4 linked regions of the Drosophila melanogaster genome follow. The protein of the gene in region 3 interacts with the protein of the main gene of each other region in a pairwise test. Each region holds a gene or a part of one and is shown on either strand. Other genes may lie near its edges. The genes, in order: CG14634, Pkc98E, CG12645 and nompB.

What was found.
Region 1: the proteins of CG12645 (region 3) and CG14634 interact in a two-hybrid assay, tested with the Drosophila melanogaster proteins (one large-scale study listed by BioGRID).
Region 2: the proteins of CG12645 (region 3) and Pkc98E interact in a two-hybrid assay, tested with the Drosophila melanogaster proteins (one large-scale study listed by BioGRID).
Region 4: the proteins of CG12645 (region 3) and nompB interact in a two-hybrid assay, tested with the Drosophila melanogaster proteins (one large-scale study listed by BioGRID).

The regions. Positions count from the first base shown.
Region 1 is NC_004354.4:860,844-863,741, reverse strand, and holds CG14634 (uncharacterized protein), read right to left. Parts: upstream 1,135-2,898; 5' UTR 1,084-1,134; intron 1,007-1,083; 5' UTR 951-1,006; coding exon 669-950; 3' UTR 542-668; downstream 1-541.
Region 2 is NT_033777.3:29,037,240-29,042,169, forward strand, and holds the start of Pkc98E (protein C kinase 98E), read left to right. Parts: upstream 1-1,916; 5' UTR 1,917-2,125; intron 2,126-2,590; exon of another isoform or gene 2,591-2,833; intron 2,834-3,856; 5' UTR 3,857-4,032; coding exon 4,033-4,186; intron 4,187-4,360; coding exon 4,361-4,554; intron 4,555-4,627; coding exon 4,628-4,685; intron 4,686-4,750; coding exon 4,751-4,863; intron 4,864-4,927; coding exon 4,928-4,930. Other genes in the region: Slu7, read right to left, coding at 1-554, 619-802, 859-1,087, 1,151-1,751. UniProt on the Drosophila melanogaster protein: PKC is activated by diacylglycerol which in turn phosphorylates a range of cellular proteins. PKC also serves as the receptor for phorbol esters, a class of tumor promoters.
Region 3 is NC_004354.4:10,151,865-10,155,528, reverse strand, and holds CG12645 (uncharacterized protein), read right to left. Parts: upstream 1,918-3,664; coding exon 1,584-1,917; intron 1,527-1,583; coding exon 1,379-1,526; intron 1,200-1,378; exon of another isoform or gene 1,145-1,199; coding exon 1,006-1,144; 3' UTR 520-1,005; downstream 1-519.
Region 4 is NT_033779.5:21,586,423-21,591,484, reverse strand, and holds the start of nompB (no mechanoreceptor potential B), read left to right. Parts: upstream 1-2,061; 5' UTR 2,062-2,129; coding exon 2,130-2,258; intron 2,259-2,311; coding exon 2,312-2,508; intron 2,509-4,066; coding exon 4,067-4,292; intron 4,293-4,343; coding exon of another isoform or gene 4,344-4,364; coding exon 4,365-5,062.

The sequences.
Region 1 (2,898 bases), 9.3 Mb from region 3:
GTGGAGCCTGCAGACGTATTCGGGTCCTTAAACTCCCGCCCGAAGGCTGTGCAAATTTGTTCGCAGGCGTCACAGGCTGCTCCTGGACTGCATATCCTGGAAGCTAGCTCTCTTCTGCTGTGTGTCCTGTGCGTCCTGTGTGTTAATGATCATCATGAATATTCTGGCATTTGTTTGTTTGCTTGCGCCAGTTTGCTTAGCCAAAATGTTAATATACGCCCAGCCCAAACAGAATTTAACCCTGCGGCACTCGTACGGGAAAACGGCAAAGAGGTCCTGCTAAATATTTGATTAACTTTCCTATGTTCAGTGTGTGTGCGAAATCAACTTAATTAAAGTTAAACAAGCAGCTAATCAAATTTTTATTACACAGTCTTAACCACAAGAATCCTTTACCTCTGTCTCCCGCAAAACGTGGAGTAATTTCATTTTAAAAATGCATACTCCAACAGGGGCTACGTGCGACTCGCGGAGGCGAAAAAGAATTGTCTTCTTGTGCTTTTGGTTTTTGTGGCCAGAGAAAAGAAATAATAGGTACACTCTTTGTGAGAACTAAAAACAGAGTCGGTAGTTTCATTAAATATAAGAGTTTTTGACAAACATCTTTGTAAGTCGTACATTTATGTAGTGCAGCGATACGCTAATCAATTCTGCTAAGATACTATGGATTAGTAATCCTCGATGGAGTCCCTTTTGGGCCACCAGACTTCGCCGTCCCAGGAGCTCAAGGTGCTAGACGTGACTATTCGGTGGGGCAGTGACACTGAACTGGGGCTCATGCTGGGTAGCGATGGCTGGCTGATGGTCACCTGGTTGAAGTAGCCTGGCTCCGTGGATATCACGTTCCCCAGGACGTCCGGCTGGTGCTGCACTTGCCGCTGCTTTCCATTCTTTTGGCAAGGCTTCGATGAGGAGCAGCCGCAGCAGCCAAGTGGGAAGAGAAAGCACATATTTCTGTGGCTAGAAATAATAAGTAGAAGTGCCGAAGATGGGGGAATGTGCCAGGCTGATTTCGTCAGCAGTCAATAAAAGAATTTCCAGGCCAAAGTCAAGTTACCCATCACCTGATGGTTTAGTTCCCACCTGTTAGGGCCCTTTTATTTATGTTGTGCCGCCCGCAGCTTTTAGCTGAAAGGAGAGCTTCCCACTGAGGCAGTGCAACCCAGAGCTGTCTGCTTTTATAGCCGGCGGGTTTGTTGTGGGTACAGTTGTGTTCCCCGGAATCGGACTAGACTGGTGCCCCCCAACAATTGTTTTCGGAGACTCCCATTATGCAAAATGGTGTCACTTATGTTAATTTCACAAATGCCCCGCACTCCAATCAGTATATAGTGCACGCTATCAGGACTATCGGGTTTCGGCGGTTGGAGGGGAGGGAAAAACGGCAGCCGACGACTACCTATTGTATTACCAATTTGCGAATGCAAATCAGGCGCAGAGCGCGGGTTTCACACCAGTTTCGTATTGAATTTAAAGAGTGAGCCATGCGACACTCACATCAAAGCCGATGATGGTGGCTGTGAAAGACGAGATGGACGTGTAGCGAGGAGATCTTCGATGCCAATGCCAGCGCAATGCCATAAGCCATCCAGCACCTGCTTCGGCTGAAGGTGTTCATTTGAACGGATGCTGAACTTCTGCGAAGGGAGGTGGCAAGCGGAGACCCCGCAATGGGACACTCCACGGTCTGCATTTAGAAAAAAAATTCGCTGATCCTCAAGGCACTGCGCTTGGGCTAAAAGACCAACAGCATGTTCTACGGTCTCCAGAAGTCCAGAGAACCTTCTATATGGCCAGCTCCTCAGATGAGAGGGTGAGTTTTCTATGGTCTGCTGGGGTCTGTTTGCTTATCCGACTTGGCAAAAATGCTGCGACCAGCGTCCTCCGTCTCTAACAACTTCAATTTCAATTAGCAGTGCATACTTTCCAAGGGTCGACGACCAAAAAGTTTCTGCACTAATGAGTTTTGTAATTATACGAAAGTTGAAACTGAATACAAAAGCCGAAAAGAACAACCCCATCCCCTTTACTTTGCTTTACATTTATACTTTTATGAATGATTTACGTGGGCAAAGTATTTGTACGGCGATAACAACCCACAGGATGCGGGGTAATTGGTGAAATTGGTGAAAGTGCCGAAAGGGAAAGCAGTTGCCATGATGTCACACAAGTCACAGCGGATTTCCTGTTTAATTCACTTCATTCTAAGTGAAGCGATACACATGTTTCTCTTGACTTAAGCCAAATAAATTTAATGTACACAAAATCCCGTGAAAAAAGTTGCGAATCTCTAATATCAAGAGTACAGCCTTTTCAATCTAAATGTTTACTCTACTCACTTTTCCGCATTTCCCCGAATTCGCGAATATGGCAAACTGGAAAAATATCAATGTCATTTGCAGGCCCATAACGGAAAAACGCAGAGTAAGGCTAAAAGGGGAAAATAAACCAGAAAAACGTACGGAAGGGGGGGGGGGGGTTGGGGTGAACTGACTGGCATTGTTACTCGTGTAATTCTAAAAGTGATGTGTCTGTTCTGGTGGGAGTTTCGTTCCCATGGCCCTGGATTTCTAGGACTGTGCATTGGGGCTCGTCCTTCTCACATGGTCAACCCCATCATTGCGGTTTCAGAACTGTATATTTCGAAGTTCCCATTTGCAGTGTTCGTTTATCTGCGCATGTGTGTGTGTGTGTTTGGGGTGCTTATGGAGATGGGACTTGTTCCGACTTGAGATGAACGAAAAAACGTGATCTTTTCCGGAAGCTCGGAAAGAGTTTGCCCAGCTTAAAACTTCGCTATAAATTTGTTATAGCGAAGAAAGCAGGACCCGGTTAAATCTTTGCTACACAAGCTATTGGTTATGAATAGGGTATCTGCTAGTTCCATAATCTCCTTTG
Region 2 (4,930 bases), on a different chromosome or scaffold from region 3:
TTGTCCTTGGTCTCCTTGTTCTTGCCTTTTTGTTTTCGCTGCTCCTTAGCCTTCTTTTTCTTCTCGCGCTTCTTCGACTTCTTCTTGGTCTTCTTCTTCTCAGGTTTTACCTCCTCCTCTTCGGATGAGGAGGGTTCCGAACTCGATGCTGAGTCCACTTCGGAAGTGGGCCTTTCAGGTGGCACTTCTGGTACCTTGAATTGGCTTTGAGCTGCAGGTTCTGTAGTAGCCGCTGCAGTGGAGCTCGTAGAATGATGTTCCGAGTAGCCCTCTGGCTCCTGCATGCCCACGCAGTAGGAGTTCTTGATGAAGGACTTGCAGCACTTGTAACCCCAGCGTCCGGCGTTCCAGAAACTGCCCCAAACTGTTGTGTGATTGTTGATATACACATCCTCCTCGTAGATACTGCGCGCTTTCGGTTTCTCCACGCCCTTGATAACCTTGCCGCTGCGAGAGTACTCGATGTACTCCTCGGTCTGCGCCAGCAATAGCGACTTTGGTGGAACCTGTAGATGCTCTTCGCCACCATATTTCTCCACAATGTGTGTTTTGGTCTGGAAAAATAAAGGAAATGGATATAGTAATGTTTCCAAGAAATTTCCATTTTCAATTACTTACACTTGACTTGAACTGTTCCTTCTTCTGCTCGTACTCCTTCTGAAGCAGCTCCAACTTAGTGGGCTCCGCTAGCAGATGCACATCAACCCCCTTGCCATGAGCTTCCCAGGCAAACAACTGGGCGGTGGCTTGGGCTGTAGTGTCTCCAGAAAAGCGTACAAAGTTCTCGCCAGCAAACTCAGCTCTGCAAGAATGAGTAGTTAAGAAATTTCTTTATATGTGCAACTTTTTGTTACTCACTCCTCTTCGGGGACAGCAGGATTGGGATTGTCACGCATGGAGCGCGTCTTGGGATCATAGTAGGCCGAGTTGGGATCCAAGTTCCTCAGGTACTTCGCCGTATCCTCGCGGATACGCAAGTTGCGCACTGTAATTCGCTGTTTGGAGTCCACTTTTGTGCCGGGCATGTCCACTTCGTCCACATATTTGTCCTCGTTGCCTTCCTCATCGGATATTTCAGCATCGGGATCTAAGGGGTACATGCGAATGATATTAATTCAACTATAAGCACTCTGAATTCACTTTTACCTACCATTTTTCAGCTTCTCTGCTTTAAGTTGTCGCTTGGCCTCTTCCACCTTTTCGTACTCCTCAATGATCTCTCTGTGATTGGCCGGATCGTAACTACTCCAGCGATCTCGTTTCTCGTCATAGTTCACCGCCGCTTCATTGACCAAATGCTCGTCGTGCACGACGATGGATTCAGCGTACTTGGCTTGGACTTTCCGCGGCCGCTCCAGGCAGTCCTTTCGTTTGTGTGTGACGGCGCCACAGTTCTCGCAGGCTCCCTTGCGGAACTTGGTAATGATGCGTGCGGTGTTAAGTCCTTTGGGCGCCCTCTTGTCCAGCTGTCCTTGCTCGTCCTCGTGCTGCGGTCGCTGATGCTTGAGAGTGGGCCCAGCCGATCCGTAATACCATGGTGCATTCGATATGTACTGCGGAATGTGGGGATTTATGTCGCGACCCTCCTCGTCGACGGCGGCCGGAGCTGTTCCCGCTTTTCGAGCCTCCTCCAGCTCCTTGGCCTTGCGCCAGTCCTCACGGGACTTCTTCTTGGGTTCCTCCTCGGCATCCTGGTCGTGCTTGCTCAGAATGATCTGCGAGACCGGCGTGCGCATGGGCCCCGAGCTCATATTGCCTGATTTTATTTACTAGATAATATTAGTTGTAATATTTATTTCTCTTTTATGTTATCGGTTATCGAAAAGTGTTGGCAAGCAGAGAAGCACTTGGCTTAACAGCGAAAGTGTTGGACAATCTGTAGCACCCCCACGATATGTATCGCCCACCTTGGCACATCGCTAACGTTTTTCCAATAAGAATTGGAGTGAAGTGAACATTTTTATCAATAGTAATACGCGAAACAGTTTTAAAGCCAATAAGAAAACTACCCAGCAATGCAACGGAAAATGGTGGACACTGTGATTTTGTGAAACTGTTCGAATTCGTTGGAAAACCAAGGAAATTGCCTGGGAAAACCAATAAATTTATAACGCTGTGCAAACGGGTGCGTTTAACTGTGTGCGTGCGTGTGTGTATAAGCGCATACATATGTCGAGCGTGTGTGTGTGTGTGCTCTAGTGTGAAGGCATCCTTAATTTTTTCGCACACATAGCTGAACACTTTTTCTCTGATATACAAGTTCCTGCGCGCGCATATGAATTATTTTATTCTTTTTGTTTCATTGTTGATTGCAATATTTTCTGCCTATTTGGTGTCGTGCATACCCATTTCACATAAACATTGTAAGGAAGCGTTTCAATAACTTTTCATTTGAAACGTTAAACATTTTCTATATACCAACAGTAGAGAGAGCAAGAAAATAAGAGAGTGGTATATGTATATAAAATCCATCGATGGGACTTTCTAAATATTACTCCGTGTGTGGTGCTTGATTGTGAAGCGAAAAATGTCAGCGAAACGTGTATCTCATAGCCAAGCGGAGTGGTTAGCATACAATTTAAAAAACAATGAAATATAATATTTGAACTACGAACATAGTGCGCATTTCGTATGTTTACCAACACTGCGTTCGTTAGTGTCAAGCTGACAGGTGGACAGTACGGCAACTCTGCCAGCTGGAAGACCTTCGTTTTCACCAATTAGAAAATTACAAATTTTCCAATTGGACGGGTTAGTTTAGTTAATTGAGCGCACTTATTGGCGTTTCGTCAGGTGTTTCCAATTGGAGTGGGCGTGAGACGCGCGTGTATTGGTGGGTGGCAGAAGTGCAAGTGAGAGGCATCATTAGAAATTCTTGTTGTTCTCTCTTTGTTGTTTAATCTGTGGAAAAAAGCTGACTGCGTGTGTATGTGTGTGTGAAAGTGTGAGTATATTTGCCATACATGAACACAAAGAATTTGCATAAAAAAGTGAGCAAGCAATGGCAATATACATATGTAATCAAAGCTAAACGACACTGAAAGTACCCAAGATTGTGTGCGAAGAAAAAGGGCAACTAAGTATGTACTTGTTCCCACCAAATTGCCAATTAGAAAACGCGTTATATCCCAATTGGATGCGCATTAGACTAGTGGCGAGACTAGTGTACACTAAACAACAATCTGTGGAATTGCGAAATAAACAAAGTTGCACTCCTTGGAATGATTTATACGCTAGAAATATTACCATAGCAGATGATGGTCGCGCACTATTTTCGACTTTTGTTCCACGGACTGTTGTCGTTTGAGCGATTGCCTAATGTACACACACAAACGGGCTGAAACACAGTGGCAGCCAAAATAGTAGTGTTGAATAGTAAAAGATGAAAAGAATTGATATTTTTGTAAGCTACAGATTTTCGTTTTGCAAAAATGAATGTACATTTTTTTCTGTGAATCATGAATCCTTTCAATTAAACCCAGAATAAGTCAGTAACATACTGAATCATAGTAGCGAAATTATTAATATTATTATCTGAATATACATCACATTTGAATTTTTTTAATAAATGCTATATAATAGTTAATACGCATCGTTAAGGAAATAAATAAATATATATGGTGCAAATTCCTTTAACATGTCATTACTATTTTGACCGCTACTGTGGGCGTAGATATGTGTGTGCACAAATTCCATCGATGCGAGGCTTAATCGACCTTGGGAGTGAATCGAGTATACCGCATACGCCATTCACGAGTGTCAATGACCTACGCCAACATTGGCCCACAGCGAAAGATGCGAATGGCAGTCAGGCGATTGATTAACCCATCCCGAATTGCTCTTCCTCCGATTGCAGATCAGGATCATCAGCCAGCCGCACACCACCACAAGCCGAGTGGTCCACCGCTGCTCCCCAAACAGACACGCAAGGACATCGCACGGAGGACCGAGGAGCAGCCGGATCACGAACAGGATCACGACCAGCAATAGGATCTAGTGCAGCCGAACGGGACATTCACCGATCGCACGACCATGTTCACGGGCAAGCTGCAGATCAAGGTGTGCGAGGCGAGTGGCCTGCGGCCCACAGACTTCCAGAAGCGCCACAATCTCACCTTCGGCAAACTGGCCGACGAGCAGCTCATCGACCCCTATGTCTCCATAGATGTCGACGAGAGTCACTTCGGTGAGTGTCCTCCCACTTCGATTTCAGCTCAAATATTCAAATATGGTTGGGAAACAAAAGTCAGTTAGATAGTTACAAATGTTAGTTACCTAGCTAAAGTGTTGCATACTTAAATGGGATTTGGCAGCTAACTTTATTTATTATTTCATTATCTGGTTATTTTGTTACGCACAGATCGAGCCACCACGCGGCCAAAGACATTCGATCCTGTTTGGAACGAGCAGTTCGTCCACGACGTGACCAATGTGAGCAACATCAACTTGACCGTCTTTCATGATGCTGCTCTGCCGCCGGATGACTTTGTGGCCAACTGCATCATCTCCTTCGAGGACCTCATGCAGAGCGAGACGGCTGTGCAGGATCTATGGGTGGGTTTCGAACATATAGTAGCTAAATCTCTAGGAATACTTATACTTACTTTTACTTCTTGAAACCTCTCAGGTTAACTTGGAGCCGCAAGGCAAGATTCACGTCATCATTGAGCTAAAGAATCGCACGGGTACGTAGCGAAATAAAGATTTGAACAATGTTCAGCGAATGCTGATCAATTCCATCTGATTTCAGATAAAGCCAAAGCCGAGGCCGTGGTGGAGCACACCGTGGCCGTCAACAAGGAGTTCAAAGAGCGCGCCGGATTCAACCGACGTCGCGGTGCCATGCGTCGTCGGGTCCATCAGGTTGGTGCCCATTTAACCAGTTGAGAATGAGCGTAACTAATATGTTTCCTTTGCTTGAAACCAGGTG
Region 3 (3,664 bases):
CGCCAGCATCAGCAGTAGCAATAATAAACTGATGCGTGGACAAAGCGGCGTATACTTGATGCGATTGAGTTTTAGCTTCCACATTATTCCACCAGCTCGGCCATAATGCTCTTTTGGTCATTATTGTTGTTGGCGGCACCGTGAACCGACTAATTGTCGAGCTCTGTCCTTTTGTTTCTCGGCCCCGCAGCTGTGGCCTAGTCAATCCATCCATCCATAGCTGGGCTTTCAGTAACGGTTTTTGGCCCATTCGTCGAAGGCCATGTTGCGCTGAAGGCTGCAACGTACGAGGCGCTAATTGAATTTGCTGCCACCGCTGGCCAATTGCAGTACCAAAAATTGAACAAAGCCGCGCAAAGCACTGAAATAGGCAGAAACCTCGAAAACAAAAAAGCGCAACTGGAGGCCAAACAACTGCGGATGGTTCAAATTCTGGGGACACTCTTCTCGATTTCGGGTATATAAGTTCTTGGCAAAAGATTGCATTTGCCCTTTTGCCCAATTACATAATAGTTTCTTAGACATATTTATAATTTTATTGTTATATTTAAGTAATTGTATCTAAATTGAATACTCTCTTCTTTTTTTTGCAGGGTATCAAATAACGAACAGCATCCACAACAACCAGCACTCGTTGGCAGGATGTGCGAAACGGAGTGATGATGAGGCAATTTGTTTAGGCCAGTTATGCATCATTTGGGCGACAGGGCAGTTCAGTACAGAGCATGGCAATGGTAATCGGTGTATGGTGTCCGATGTTGAAAGGATTGTGGATTGTGGATTGCGGATTGAGGACGAAGGACGATGGGCTTAGGTAGGCAATTCGATTTGACGGCGCACAATTTCCGGTCGCGCCCGGCACTGCGTTACTCATTACAAGCGAATAAGCGCCAAGTCCTTGCGGTCAGAAGCGCGTGCCGCCCCACTCAGCTTTATTCGCACACACGGAAAACTTTCACAATTAGCGGCCGGATTCCGGCTGCGATCCTGCAGGATATTTCCGGACTACCGCCGCCGGCAGCAGCAGCAGCAGCAGCTCCTCGGATAATGTGCGCCCAGAAAGATCTCGCAGGCGGAGCAGTAATGATTCGTTGTCCGGCAGCCATTCCATAGATACGGAAACAGGCAAGCGCAGCAGCACCAACTGAAAACAAAAACATAGATACATATATACGGATATGAGTATATCAAAGTTCGAGGTATGTAAATCGAAAGTTACTTTATCTATTTCCATTATTTCATACGATTTTTGAAAGTTTACTCATCATTTTGTTCATATTTAGTGTTAAGTACTTGAAACTTAGCACTTCTGAAGCTAACAACGTTTTGGGTTAAAAGTTAGTTAAAATTTTCAAACTAATTTAAATACCCAACTCACCCAAAAGTGCACAAGCAGAGGGCCCAAAGGTTAGTCCGAGCATTAGGTGACCTCTTCAAACGGGTGACTCCCCGTTGACCACAAGCTGGGCACACGATGTCCATCGCCTGGCTACCCAGTTTGGGTTGCGGGCTTAGGATAAAGAAATCTGGCCAATACACAATTTCAAAATATGCAATCGAATGAGTGTTCAGTTCATAGTTACCATCGCACTTACTTCTCACTGGTGGCATTGCACGATGATCGATGCTATTGTTGTCCGCTAATCCTTCCGATTGTACGCTCACCTCGTCTTTCGTTTGGGACATCGGCATCGGCATCGGCATTTCCTCCACCCTGGACCTTAGATGTTGGGGTTCTGCAAAAAGGGTTCTTCGCCGATCGTTGGAATAATCCAAATTATTCTGAATCGTAAACGTTTGCATTGCATCATAGTAGGTCGGCGGTTCCGATGGCGACAAGGACATGGGTCGCTCTATCTGCAGATCCTGGCCGGGATCCTGGTCTTGGAACAACATGCGATGCTTCTCTTCGGCCATTCCAAACCCTTCTGTTGGGCCAGTTTCGCCCTACGATGGTTTTTATTCCTTGGCAAAAAAGAAACAACCAGCCAAAAACAGTTGTCGATGATAGTGAAACATTCTGGGCCAATTAACCAGCTGCTAGCGATATCAACGAGTCACCCCAATAGAAAACTCCACAGTTGGTCAAAAAGTGCTTGAAATGGAAATGGTCTAGCTGAATCACCTTTATTTCATCGTCGTTGGAGAATATTGTCAGCTTCCGTTTCATTTCCTGTTCATAACTTTTGCAATATGTGCTGCTGACCGCTTGCACTGGCAACACAAATTTTCAAATGCTCAAAAATACACGTAAATATTTTTACAAAAATTTCTTAAAATTATTTGAAGTGTATAAATATCTCTTTAAAACGAGTTGCATAGAATGTTATGAATCAAAATCTTATAGTGTTGCTATTTCTCGCATAGAGTTTTCCACAATGTATTCCTGTTTGCGTATTCATTTTTGTTTTTCTGTTTTCCTTCAAGTTTTTTCAATATTTTCCAACGACACGATGAGGATGGAAAAATGTGAATGAAATTCTGTTTGCCACTTTGCATTTAATTAACTTTATCGCATGCATGTAAATAGTATACAGGCGCAAATAAACTAAACAGGTATACGGCAAATTATAATGAAAACTTTCATTTGCATACGGATAACTGACATATCTGGATTAGGTAAAAAAATATACCTTTAGTTTATCCAAAAAAAAAAAAGGAACGTTCTTCTTTACATTGCTTAAACTAACATTTATCGTTGTCCGTTAAATGCCTGAACTTTCCTGATATTAAATTTGCCTGTTTTTTTTTTAAGGTCTTAAATTTTATTTATGAATTCCAGGGTGTGCCAACCTTTGATTTGCTTACTCCTGCTGTTGTTGTTCCGCCATCTGCCATTCAAATGGGAATCGGGTTTTTTTGGGATCGGGGCACTGAGAGCTGTCGCTGCATAAATTTGCAGTCCATTTCAAGTTGGCTCATCGCTTTGATGTTTGATTTATTGCACGCTGTTTGTGGGCCCAATGGGGGGGGGGGGGGGTGTGATAGGGGATTGAATAGGGGTCAAGGGGTTAAGGGGGGGTGGGGTCCGAGTGCCATGCCGTGGGCTTATCGGCCGACATGCCAGACAATTGTGAATAGCAACTGCAATTGAATTTGACAGCGGCGGAGTGAATGGGGACCAACTCGCGTATCAGGTGCTGACTTGGGTACGCAAATAAATGTATGAGGCGGGCAAATAAATCTGTAAAAGGGTTCGCATTCCATTATGGATCCTGACATTTGTCTATTTATGCATTCTAAAGGTCAGCTATCAGGGTTTAAAAATGGAGCTACATAAATAAGTTAGTTGTTAAAGGTTAACAGGGGCGTATCTTTATTATTGGATTATTTATTTATTTACATTTATTCCTGGCAGTTCATTTAGTTCATTAAATTCTTACATTCAAATTAAGAGCACTCATTTGGGCCACTCCTTGCTCGATAATCCCGACGATTGGCCTTCGTTTTTTGGGGGTCTTGGGATTTGGCTCAACATTCGTTCAACTGATTAAACTGTTAGCTTATTTTCGCACAGACCGCCTATAGCTCTCTCTCTCTCTCTCTCTCTCTCTCTCGCTCTCTCTAGCAGAAGCACCTTCTCTGTCGCACTGATTGCGGCTTTGGCTGAAAATGTGTGCAAATAATATTTCGTGTAATTGCAATTAGCGCCAAAAAGGTTTTC
Region 4 (5,062 bases), on a different chromosome or scaffold from region 3:
GACGAGAGCCAGGACATGATGATGATCTCGAATTGATATATTGTTAATTGTTATATTTGTTTTATTGTTTTGTTACAGCTAACTTTTGTTAGCCGGCGCTCCTGAAAGGGCTGAATTAATAACGACCAAGGTGACAAAGGGGTTAATAAAGTCTATAAAAAAAAATTAAATAATTTTATTCTTTATTTACTGTCTACAGGCCGGAAGCGTTTTCTCTTGTACTTCAATAAATAGGAGTTTTTATACCCGTTTATCGTAGAGTAACTACTAGATTCGTTGAAAAGTATGTAACAGGAAGAATGAAGCGTTTCCGACATTATAATGTACATGTATCTGTATTCTTGATCAGGATCAATAGCCGAGTAATGTCCGTCTGTCTGTCTGTCCGTATGAGCGTGGAGATCTCAGGATTAAGCATGAATTTTCTAGAGACAAACCCGCAGCGCTAGTTTGCTTCCAAATATTGAAATTTTGAAAATTGAAATTAACAATATTTGATGTAGTTGTGATTGTGATACGTCAGCAATGTGTAGGTGTCTTGCTCTTAATGTTTGGGTCAAATCCCGAATGATACCCCTGAGTGTACTAAAGAAATTTATATTTATTTTATTGGAAAAATTTTAAACATAAAGTGGGCTTTAAAACTGTCTTTTTATTCTGTCTTTTTTCATTCTTCTCTCTGTAAACTCTACAAAAAAAAAAACAAGGGAGAATGCTATATTCGAGCATATATGTATGTATATAAAGTCTTAAGCATTTCCAAGCTTATCAGGAACAAGCAATGATCTACTCCTGCCTTTTAGTCGATTATTATGTAGCGAGTTAACCAAAGTCTGAATACTAGCCAACTTATATTACGTTTTACATAATACAAACTATAGACCACAAATAATGTATAAAAATCTAGAGGAAAAAATTGTGAAGCTCTTGGAGTCATCTATAGTTTTGGCCTGGCAACGCTCACCCAATAAATTATTGAACCTGGATACAAAATTGGCCGAGGCATTGAGTAAAGCCAAAGAAGCATTCTCATTGGATAGAACATTACACCAATTTCGAGACCAGCACGGTGAAAATGTTTATCACAACTTCGATTTGACATATGCGGTAAGCACGACTAGAAGGATAATTTAAAACTTTAATATATATGGACTATAGGTTTTTTTTAATCTCGCGGAGCAATACGAACGGAGTGAGATGCACATCGAAGCCCTCAATACCTACAGCATTATGGCCAAAAACAAGATGTTTCCACACGTCAATCAGCTAAAACTAAATATGGGTAACATCTACTACAGCATGGGTATTTACCAAAAGGCGGTTAAAATGTACCGCATGGCCCTTGATTCTGTACCAAAGAGCTTAAGTCAGTTAAGGCTAAAGATCCGTGAAAACATTGGAATCCTTTTTATTCGCATGGGCTCTTATTCAGATGCTGCTTCTAGCTTTGAGTTCATCATGACGGAGCGGGCAAACATTAGAAGTAGCATTCACCTCTTACTCTGCTACTTCGCCTTGGGCGATGTGGAGAAAGTAAAGTTAGCCTTTCGGAGACTTTGTGATGTCCAAACCGAAGCAATAGAATCGGATATGGAGAGTGAGACGAATATCATTAAACTTCAACAGCAGGCTGAGCCGATTCAACAATGTGGCGAAATCGACGTGCACCAGACAACGAACAAGACACGAGCTCGGTTATAAGCGCAGAAGGTGGAGGTAAACCATACGGTATGGTCCATACCCGTTTCTCGTAGAGTAAAAGGGTATACTAGATTCGTTGAAAAGTATGTAACAGACAGAAGGAAGCGTTTCCGACTGATAATAATATTTTAACAATTGAAATTGGGTTTTATGTTTTATATTAAATCAGATAACAATTAACTAAACTTATTCAAACTTTTATAGAAATGTCTTAGTATAAAATGATAAAATAAACCAAAATGATTTGGTTTAATAAATACCGCAACCTTCTTACATTATACATTTAATTGGTATTTATTCACCTCTTTTACGCATGTGCTGCTTATACGTGATCACCAAGGCAACTCAACCAAAACAAAGACCAACCCCCAAAACCGTTCATATTGATTGAGAACCTTATTATACGCGTGTAGTGCGGTGAGACAAAAATGACTTCTCAAATAACTGCTAACGGAACGCAAAGATTACCGGAGCCTGTTTCCGAACATGAAGCGGTTCCGCCTCCCCCACCCACGGCGGCGGGCAGACCCAGACCCCCCACTTCACAGCTTTTTTCAGTGAGTTTTGAAAAAAAAAAAATTTAAAACGCTGTGTAATTTCTGTAATTCAGCGCGGCAATCTGGCCAGCAGTCGGGCAACAGGAGGCGATAAATCAGGTCTTGCAAGACCATCAACAGCAGTCCGGGCTGTGGGCTACGCTGCTAATTGCGAGTCTGCTCATCAAAGGTTCGAACAATTTTTCCTGGAGAAGGCGAAGCAACAAACGCTCTCGTCAAGAGCCGCTGTGGATGCCATAAAGGATGTAAAGTAAGTAAGAAAATTATTTTTAGAGGACGGTTGCATCAAAGGGGTTATCAAAAATCGTAAAAAAAAAATAAATAGAAAGGTACTGAAGTTAAAGGTATACTGAATCTATATTCATGTATTTATTCACTTGCACCTTATAAACTTACAAGCATACAGAGGTGGTCAAAAGTATTTACACAACGTGCTTTTTTTCTGTTGTCAATTGTCAAGAAGTGGAAAAAATAACTGTTCATGGGCTAAAAATAGAAGCATTAAACTTGTCTGTTGTCAGAAGTATTTACACACAATTTTTAAGCTTCAAAATTATTTGCACAGTGCAAATTGAAGATTAGTCTAGTAAAGTTCTAGTTGATGTTGATCGCTTAATTGGAACTTAAACTAACTGTTAACAGTTATGTTAATAGATAAAACTAAGCATTAAATTTGTAAAATGGCAAAAACAAAGGAGCTATCAGTTGAGCATCGAGCCGAGATTGTCACTAAAATTAAGGCTGGTACTTCTGCATCCAAATTAGCTGAGTTATACAAAATATCACGTAAAACTGTGTACAATTAGGTAAAAAAAAAGGACATTGGATTGGGAATTTTGGAAAATAAAAAGAGAACTAACCGAAAAGTTGCATTGAACCCAAGAGACTGCAGACACATTATAGGAGTTGTACTATATAATCCCACCATAAGTCCCGTTAAAATTGCCGCAGCATCGAAAAATTTAGTTAGAGAACATATTAGCGATAGTACACTGCGTCGCAGAATGAAGGAAGTTGACATCAACTCCTATGTTATTCGTGCAGTATTTAATATTACCCCAAGAAACAAGGAAAATCGTCTGGCATTTGCCTTGGAGTAAAAAGAGAAGCCTCTCGAATTCTGGTTTGATATTTTATGGACTGATGAAGTTGCGTTTCAGTTTCAGGGATCCTTTAGCAAGCAATTTATGCATTTCCCAATACAACTAAAGGGTAATGCCGTTCAGCCAATCAATCGGTTTGGTGGTGTCACGGTGATGTTCTGGGGCTGTTTAAGCTACTATGGGTTTGGAGACATGGTACCGATAGAGGGTACAGTAAATCAAACAGGATACCTCCATATCTTAAATGAGCACGCATTGACCTCAGGAAATAGACTGTTCTCCAAGAATGACTGGATCTTGCAGCAGGGCAATGCTCCATGCCACAAGGGCCGAGTACCAACCAAGTTCTTGAAAGACATAAATCAGGCGGTACTTCCATTGCTCATATTCCATATAAAATATTTCGTTTAAATTCAATAAAAAAGGCAAAAATGAATTAAAAAAGCTGTGTGTAAATAATTATGAATTTTTTAACATAACATAATTTTTAAACATAGTGGAATTTAAAAATGTTATTTTAATTCTGTCTTTTTTCATTCTTCTCTCTGTAAATTTTACAAAACAACAAGGAAAAGTCTTAAGCATTTCCAAGCTTATCAGGAACTAGCAATGATCTGATCCTTTTAGTCGATTATTATGTAGCGAGTTAACCAAAGTCTGAATACTAACCAACTTATATTACGTTTTACATAATTCAAATTATAGCCCACAAATGAAGTATAAAAATCTAGAGGAAAAAATTGTGAAGCTCTTGGAGTCATCTATAGTTTTGGCCTGGCAAGGCTCACCCAATAAATTATTGAACCTGGATACAAAATTGGCCGAGGCATTGAGTAAAGCCAAAGAAGCATTCTCATTGGATAGAACATTACACCAATTTCGAGACCAGCACGGTGAAAATGTTTATCACAACTTCGATTTGACATATGCGGTAAGCACGACTAGAAGGATAATTTAAAACTTTAATATATATGGACTATAGGTTTTTTTTAATCTCGCGGAGCAATACGAACGGAGTGAGATGCACATCGAAGCCCTCAATACCTACAGCATTATGGCCAAAAACAAGATGTTTCCACACGTCAATCAGCTAAAACTAAATATGGGTAACATCTACTACAGCATGGGTATTTACCAAAAGGCGGTTAAAATGTACCGCATGGCCCTTGATTCTGTACCAAAGAGCTTAAGTCAGTTAAGGCTAAAGATCCGTGAAAACATTGGAATCCTTTTTATTCGCATGGGCTCTTATTCAGATGCTGCTTCTAGCTTTGAGTTCATCATGACGGAGCGGGCAAACATTAGAAGTAGCATTCACCTCTTACTCTGCTACTTCGCCTTGGGCGATGTGGAGAAAGTAAAGTTGGCCTTTCGGAGACTTTGTGATGTCCAAACCGAAGCAATAGAATCGGATATGGAGAGTGAGACGAATATCATTAAACTTCAACAGCAGGCTGAGCCGATTCAACAAATTGGCGAAACCGACGGGTACCAGTCTTTAAACAACGAACCAGTCACGGGCTCGGTTATTAAGGCAGAAGGTGGCGGTAAACTGAACGAGACCGTAAAGTTTGCAGCCACAGTGAAACATCGTTATGTTGTCCAAGCACTTAAGAAAGACGAGCTGGCCGTATATAGAAATGAACGTCGTAATGCCGTTAAACGATCTATTACAATGATTGTAGACTTAATATCACCTTT